2 linked regions of the Drosophila melanogaster genome follow. The protein of the gene in region 1 interacts with the protein of each later gene in a biochemical or structural test. Each region holds a gene or a part of one and is shown on either strand. Other genes may lie near its edges.

Region 1 (3,753 bases):
GTCATCCAGATCGGTCATAGTGCCACCTAGATATCAGTTTGTTTAGTCAATGCAGATATAAGATAACAAAACTTACCTTTAATGGGCATCATGTCGTTGTCGCCACGAGATTTACCGCCCGGAGCTGGACTGGCGGTGGACTGCAAGGCGGCATTTGCCTTATGAACCTCCTGAACATTGGGCTCGGCCGGCGGATCATCCAGATCGCGAGTTAAGTCCTCGTCATCATCGTCGTTGCGCGACTTTTTGTGCACCACGGCGGGAGAACGCTTACGCTTGCCCGGCTTTGAGGTGGATGCCGAACTGGCGGGAGATGGTGAACGGCGTCTCTTCTGCTTGCCTCCGCCCGAGCTGGCAGCAGGCTTCTTCTTCTCGTCGCCGAATGACATGATGTCGTCTATGGACATACGCTGTTTGTGCGTCTTCTTCTTGCCCTGTTCGTCAACCTCGTAGTCCTCCTCGGCCATCCACTCATTGTACTGCTCCAGGTCCACGATCCAGGATGCAGACACACGCCAACGTTCCGCCGGTGACTCGGGATTCTCCGGAATGTGATCGGGCAGGTCAAAGTTATTCACAGCCCAAGAATCGTAGGACTCGGGGAAGTAGTACCAATGCAGCATCACATGTCCGCCGCGCTTGAAAATGGGCCGCGCATACTCGTCGGGATGTGGGTCCACCACAGGATAGACGATATGGGTGGCGTCCTCCTCGTCCGACACAATCTCTACCCGTCGATTGTCCAGGATCTCGCGCAGTTTTCCCTCGAAGCCCTTTTCAATCTCCGGCCGAATATAGATGTACGGTATGCGATACAAGTCCGCCTCGACCAACGCCTGCTCAATCTCGATCAGCAGCTGGATGTTGGGATCCTTGCGCGTGGGATTCTTGCCAATGGAGAAGTCGAACTTCTTGCCGCGTTGCTCGGCCCGGAAACGGAACATGGTCGAGAAAATGATGCACAGACCACCGCCGCTCTTGAAGTCCAGAAAGCAACGCATCTGGTGTGGGTGGTACGATTATTAGAGATATGTTTTAATGTACGTAAATCATGTAGCTAAATACAAAATATAAGCTAGTGGTCCAAACATTTGGCCATTGGAGGATTAATATTTACGTGTACACACGCAACACGGGGCACCCTGTCCCCCTCACCAACCACAGGCACTATCAATACTAACCGGAATTCTGGTTGCCGGCGGATCCGCTGAGTTCTTGCCCAGCTTGGCTTCCACATACTGCAGGAAGTGAATGAGCAATTGGGCCAAGGACTCCTTCGTGATGGGCTCCGAACTGTGGGCCAAATACTGCAATAAATACGGTTGTGAGTAAATCGTTTTTTTTTCGCCGCCTGACAGCGCCATTTTTGTTTGCGGCGGCGTTGTTGTTGGCACGCACCTTCTTGCAGTTCTTCTGCAGCCACTGGCGAATCGATTCAAAGCCCTGCAGCGTCTCCGGCGACTGGAAAAAGTCTATATTCGGACTTCCGTCCTTCTTAGGACCCAGTGTGTTCATGTTGCGGCACTTTTGTGGACTTTTTGTCAATTATCTTTTCACTTTTCCACGCCAAAAAGCCAATAAACGCTGCGTTGATAAAATAGAGATGGTATTTAAATCGATGTTGTTGTGACAGTCGTTATCGATATTTCAGCTATCTCCACTGAAAGTTATCATTATTTTAATCTTAGGTTAGGTTAATATATAAACCTATTGGTTGGTGGAAGCCATATATTAAATAACAAGAAAACATATTGGCTGTTAAGAGAATTATATAGACTTCGAAAAAGTTATAGCTAGCTAACGTGTCAGTTAGCTTTACATCTCAGTGGGAACAAGCTATTATGTGAAAATTGCTGTTAAATTCAATAATGCCATCTGGTCACAGTGGCGGTGGTGCTGTATTGGCGTCCCGCTCGCGCCGCCTAAAAACCGATGCACCACGATAGTCAGGCCGCACATATAAATGCGACTCCATCGCGCTAACATGGCTGCTGGGAACCGAAAACTTAAAAATATTGTGCTGTCAGAGTGTGTTTGCATCAGCGTGAAGCCCAGTGTTAAGTTAAAACATTGACTGCCTACGCCCACCAACGACAATTGCCGTAAATCGAATTCTGCCGTTATTCGCAACGCCGGATTCCCATCCGTGTGTCCGTCGCGAGTGTGCCAGTGTGCGTGAAAATAAAAAGTCAATGGTGCGTGAGTGCGAGTGAGTAGGAAGAAAGCAAAAGCGATTGGATTGATTTGTGACGCTGCTGGCGAAAAGCAGTACCCAGTACCCCTTTCCTTGGGCCAAAACACACACATACGTACGGCTATAGTAACTCAGCATCGATTGTACAGTTTGAGAGCAAACAATTCAATTAGAAAATGCAGAGCGCATGAGTTGAATTGTGAGTGGGCGCCCCACATAAGCTGACTGCTACCGCACAACGAAGGGAACTAGAAAGAGGAGTGCGTAGTGCGGAGAGAAGAGCAAATGCGAAGCGAAGAGGAAGAGAGCGAGAGAGAGCAACCATTGCCAAAGGTAAGTGATATAACACTCGGAGATCGGGAGTGGGAATGCGAATAGGAACATAAGGAACCCCTAAATTCTTATCCTAGATTGCAACATTATTTATATGGCAGCAACTTATCGCTTCCGCTTGCTTGTGTGCGTGCGATAGAGATAGATAGAGTGGGGCCAAGGGGCTCTGTTTATTGATAAGAGAGGAGAGCGAGCGAGAGAGAGGGAGAGAGAGAGGAGGTGGGCGCCAACGCAGCAAAACAGCGGAAATCCTTTACAAAAACTTGGTCTACCACTAGCTCTTTGTCTTCGCCTTCTAGTCTCTCTCATCTTGGCAGCCCGTTCTAGTGCGCGTATTTTTAGTCGCAACACATTGCCCAATTCGCCAGCCGCTATTTGTGTCGTCCATTTGTTCATTCATCGGGCTCTTTTTCCGATTTCAGTGGGTGGCATTTAACAATAATCCCTGCGTTCGCTGTCCACGTCCACATTACGATACGTTTAGTGCACGGAAAGAAATAAGCATGTGGTTTCATAATATTAGCTATTGAAAAAAGTTCTTAAATTTAAGCCTCACTCGATTCTGATGCATGAAATATTATTGGATTGTAAATGAGCGTCATGTTTTGGTATACAAATCTCAAAGTAATTTAAAAATTCTCATCTTACCGTACCTTGAACCACTACCAATCATCTCAGTACAGCATTTCAGCGAATTTCTCACTGTGCACTACAATGCCAGGCGGTACAAGCACCTGTATTTATTTATGGTCCGCTGCCGTAATCGACTGCAGTCGCCGCTTCCCTCTCTCTTTTGCTACCAACAACTTGGGGTAGGGCACCTGAACTAGTTTCAAACGGCGGCGGTCGGCCTTTTCAGCTTTTTCGCATTTGCCATTTTCCCGCGGTTCGCAACATCAGCGACATTTGTCACAGTTTCTTAAAGAACATTTGAATATCCAAAGTTTACTTGCCGAACTTGACTGCGGCATTGCGATGATGATGCTGCCCGTTGTTTGTCATTCAGCTCCATTAATTCGATACCAATCAGTATTTCGTGCATTGTGCAAAATACGCAGCAACAGCTGTTCCAATATTGGCCAAATATGGTGCAAATATTGAACTCTTCGCATATAAAAAACATATGGCGCGATCAATGCCGAAATGTGTCATTTTCGGCGAATTTGAGCAGATGACCCATTGAGCCCATAATATGTACTTTATTGAATTTGAAAAATTTGTATTTC
Region 2 (3,753 bases), on another chromosome or scaffold:
TGCAGATCCTTTTGACGCGAAAGAAGGAACTCCACAGCACCGCCGGTATTCTTTAGAGCTACAATGCCCCAGTTGTACTTACAAATGGTTTTCAAGAACGACAAGGCGGCCATTTGAAGATCGGGGAACGGAGTGTTTATCAGGTCCATAATGATATTAGCATGCGCTCCCCCAGCGAAGCACTCGTACCAGTTTTTACCAATGTTACTGAAAAAGAAGAGAATCATTAGAAGAAAAACTTCAATTATAGAGTTAAGCATTACATGATTTCTGTGGCAGGCGGCGTCTTGAAGTCATAAATCACATCCAGGGAGTTGAGCAGCCTCTTCTTGATGTGCGCCGATAGCTTCTTAGTATGCGAGCCATACTTCTTAAAGGACTTCTCCATGGCCCCGCTAAAGTGCATGTTCAGCAGTATCTTGCCCTGTGGAGTAGTGGCCAAATTGGCAAGCGTATCCATGGCAGTGGGCAGAATACTCTCATCCTCCGATTGAAGCTGCATGAACAAGCAGGCCAGCATGTGCGGGTAGCCGCCAATGATTTTCAGAGGCTGGTATACGGAAATTTTGCCGAAAAACTTCATAATGCTGGGAACGAGCAGGGCGTCTAGCGGATGCTCTTCGACGCGTTGGACCCGATAGCTGATTATATCCAAAACGCGACGACGTTCCATGTAGGACAGACCATGGTTTTGTTCGGCCAGTGGCACTAGGAGCTCCATTACGCTAGCCTGCAATAAAACATCGTCGTTATCCAGTTCGCTGAGAGCCGCATCCAGAATAAATGTAACGTCACTGAGTAAGGTGGCACTTTTCTTGGCCAGGACCACTGCCAATTCGTAGGCGCGACAGCGCACGATCTCATTTTGCTTTAGGAGCTGTACTAGCTTTGCCTGCACATCGGCATTGCTGATTCGCTGAGGCAGCACGATGGATAGGATATTGATGGCCAGAGAGGTACTCTGCGTATCCGGTTGTTTCAGCTCGTCCAAGATGAGGAAAATAAGCTCATTGTTGGGCAGGGTGAGAACCTGACCGACGGTCAACTGGCGAAGCAGCTTCTTGAACAAACTGGCCAACACCTGGGCACGCAAGGCTGGATTCGAGTGGGTCAAGCCACGTCTTAGCAGACTGGACAGCTGCTCGTCGGCGGTGTCCATCGCCAGCTGATCAAGGCAGTGGCACAGCAATTCCAGGGTCACGTCCACGGCCTGATCCTTGGGAACATGGGAATCCGCGGCGGGATTGGCGCAGTCATACAATTGGTCCGTGGTCAGCAGGCGTTCAATTATTTGACGCGGAAGAGCCGCCTCCTTTGCGATGGCTGAGTTCATGGCGGTCAGCGCATCCAGCCTTTGTGGCTTCGACTCCAGAGCCTTTAACTTGGTGACCCACCAATTGTCTTCCATTTCCATTTGTTTTCTGTGTTAAAATGACAGTCGGTTTCAAACCTATCGTTCTTCGATTTCAGAAGACGTTACTTGTCCGAACTTATTGGCGACTATCGATATTGCTTATGTTTATGGCTTGACACTGCAACTATCGAGCGTTTGGGCAAACCAATGTTTTCGATCGATAGTAGCAAGTGCTAGTATATTCCTTATCGTATTGTTTGTTTGTTACAAATGTCTTGAAAGTTTTTAAGTATATTTTCAAAGCCAACTATATAGCTGTAACTCTATTGAAATGAATAACTTCGATTAAAGTGCAAAATGATAGCCGCAGCCCTGCCAAACGTTGTAATATCTATCGCCCAGTCGACCACCACCAGTAATAGTGCATCCCTGTTTTGACGCCATTTTACAGGCGAAATTGTGTGTGTGTTTGACGCGTTGTTGTATTGAAACAAAAAGGCAGAAATTTTCCTTCGTCTGCAAAGGGCAATTGTTTACGGCTGGAAAAAAGGGAGGACTTCGTAGCAAAGATGTCGCAACGCTTTGCACCTGGCCAAGCGCCGGTGCAGTCGCGTTATCAGCCACCACCACCGGCGCCCGGCATGCGTCCCTATCCGCCGCCAGGCGCCTCTTTTCCAGTGAGTTTTCCACGCATTATCCAGCACCTACCGTTTCAATTAAGCATGTACAATCTTATCCGCAACAGCCGCGCGGGTTTCCCCTGCATCCGAACACTACTCAACCTGTTCCCGGCACGGCGAACGTGGCCGGGGTACCGGGAGTTCCTGGAGTACCCGGCGTACCGGGACCATCGCTACTGCAGCGCGCCGCCCAACAGCCGGGCTTTCAGAGCAGCCTTCGCGGTACTGGAGCCGGAGGTGGCGGTGTTGGATCCGGCGGAGGCAGCAAGAGGTCAAATGAATCCCGCAGTTTGGGTGGCGGTGGTAGCAAAAGTGATTTTGCGACGGCCAAAAAGAAAAAGAAGCTGGCCGAAAAGATACTGCCGCAGAAGGTGCGGGATCTGGTGCCCGAATCGCAAGCGTACATGGATCTGCTGACGTTTGAGCGAAAACTGGATGCCACCATAATGCGCAAACGTCTGGACATCCAGGAGGCCCTCAAGCGCCCCATGAAGCAGAAGCGCAAGCTGCGCATCTTCATCTCGAACACATTCTATCCCAGCAAGGAGCCCACAAATGATGGCGAGGAGGGCGCCGTTGCCTCTTGGGAATTGCGGGTGGAGGGTCGCCTGTTAGAGGATGGCAAGGGCGATCCCAATACAAAGATCAAACGCAAGTTTTCGTCGTTTTTCAAGTCGCTGGTTATCGAGCTGGATAAGGAACTGTACGGTCCGGACAACCATCTGGTCGAGTGGCATCGCACTCACACCACCCAGGAGACGGACGGGTTCCAGGTGAAGCGGCCGGGCGATCGCAATGTGCGCTGCACCATCCTCCTGCTGCTTGACTACCAGCCGCTGCAGTTCAAGCTGGACCCGCGACTCGCCAGGTTGCTGGGCGTACACACACAGACCAGGCCGGTGATCATATCCGCCCTGTGGCAGTACATCAAGACGCACAAGCTACAGGATGCCCACGAGCGGGAGTACATCAATTGCGACAAGTATCTGGAGCAGATATTCAGTTGCCAGCGGATGAAGTTTGCCGAGATACCGCAACGCCTCAATCCGCTGCTGCATCCGCCCGATCCGATTGTGATCAATCATTTCATTGAGAGCGGTGCAGAGAACAAGCAGACTGCCTGCTACGACATCGATGTGGAGGTGGATGATACGCTCAAAAACCAGATGAACAGCTTCCTGATGAGCACTGCGAGCCAACAGGAGATCCAGGGGCTGGACACCAAGATCCACGAGACGGTGGACACGATCAACCAGATGAAGACGAACAGGGAGTTCTTCCTAAGCTTCGCCAAGGATCCACAAATGTTTATTCATCGCTGGATCATCAGTGAGACGAGGGATTTGAAGGTTAGTTCTTTTTTTTTCTTTTTTGCCTCATACCGTTGTCTAAACCTTTCGTCCTTTCAGCTGATGACCGATGTAGCTGGCAATCCGGAGGAGGAGCGTCGGGCGGAGTTCTATTACCAGCCATGGACGCACGAGGCCGTTTCGCGCTACTTCTTCACCAAGGTCAACCAGAAGCGGGCCGAATTGGAGCAGGCGCTGGGCATACGCAACGGCTAGGTGAATGATGAGCTGATCATCTCCACCAGCCAATTCGTGGAGTCCACCGTCAAGAGACCTCCATAAACCGTGCGCACGGCAAACTCTTTTTCCTTCGCCAGTTTAGTTTAAGCTTAAAATATTTCCTTTTTTTCCGACAAGCCGAACTCCATCC

Evidence for each region. The genes of interacting proteins can lie anywhere in the genome.
Region 2: the proteins of mor (region 1) and Bap60 form a complex in vitro, tested with the Drosophila melanogaster proteins (2 studies listed by BioGRID, with this or other methods).

The regions. Positions count from the first base shown.
Region 1 is NT_033777.3:15,971,298-15,975,050, forward strand, and holds the start of mor (moira), read right to left. Parts: upstream 1,617-3,753; 5' UTR 1,516-1,616; coding exon 1,399-1,515; intron 1,308-1,398; coding exon 1,182-1,307; intron 1,002-1,181; coding exon 77-1,001; intron 27-76; coding exon 1-26.
Region 2 is NC_004354.4:13,157,544-13,161,296, reverse strand, and holds the start of Bap60 (brahma associated protein 60kD), read left to right. Parts: upstream 1-1,788; 5' UTR 1,789-1,923; coding exon 1,924-2,031; intron 2,032-2,099; coding exon 2,100-3,383; intron 3,384-3,443; coding exon 3,444-3,599; 3' UTR 3,600-3,753. Other genes in the region: CG12096 (uncharacterized protein), read right to left, coding at 1-207, 264-1,414. UniProt on the Drosophila melanogaster protein: Involved in the recruitment and site-specific anchoring of the Brahma complex at specific promoter sites.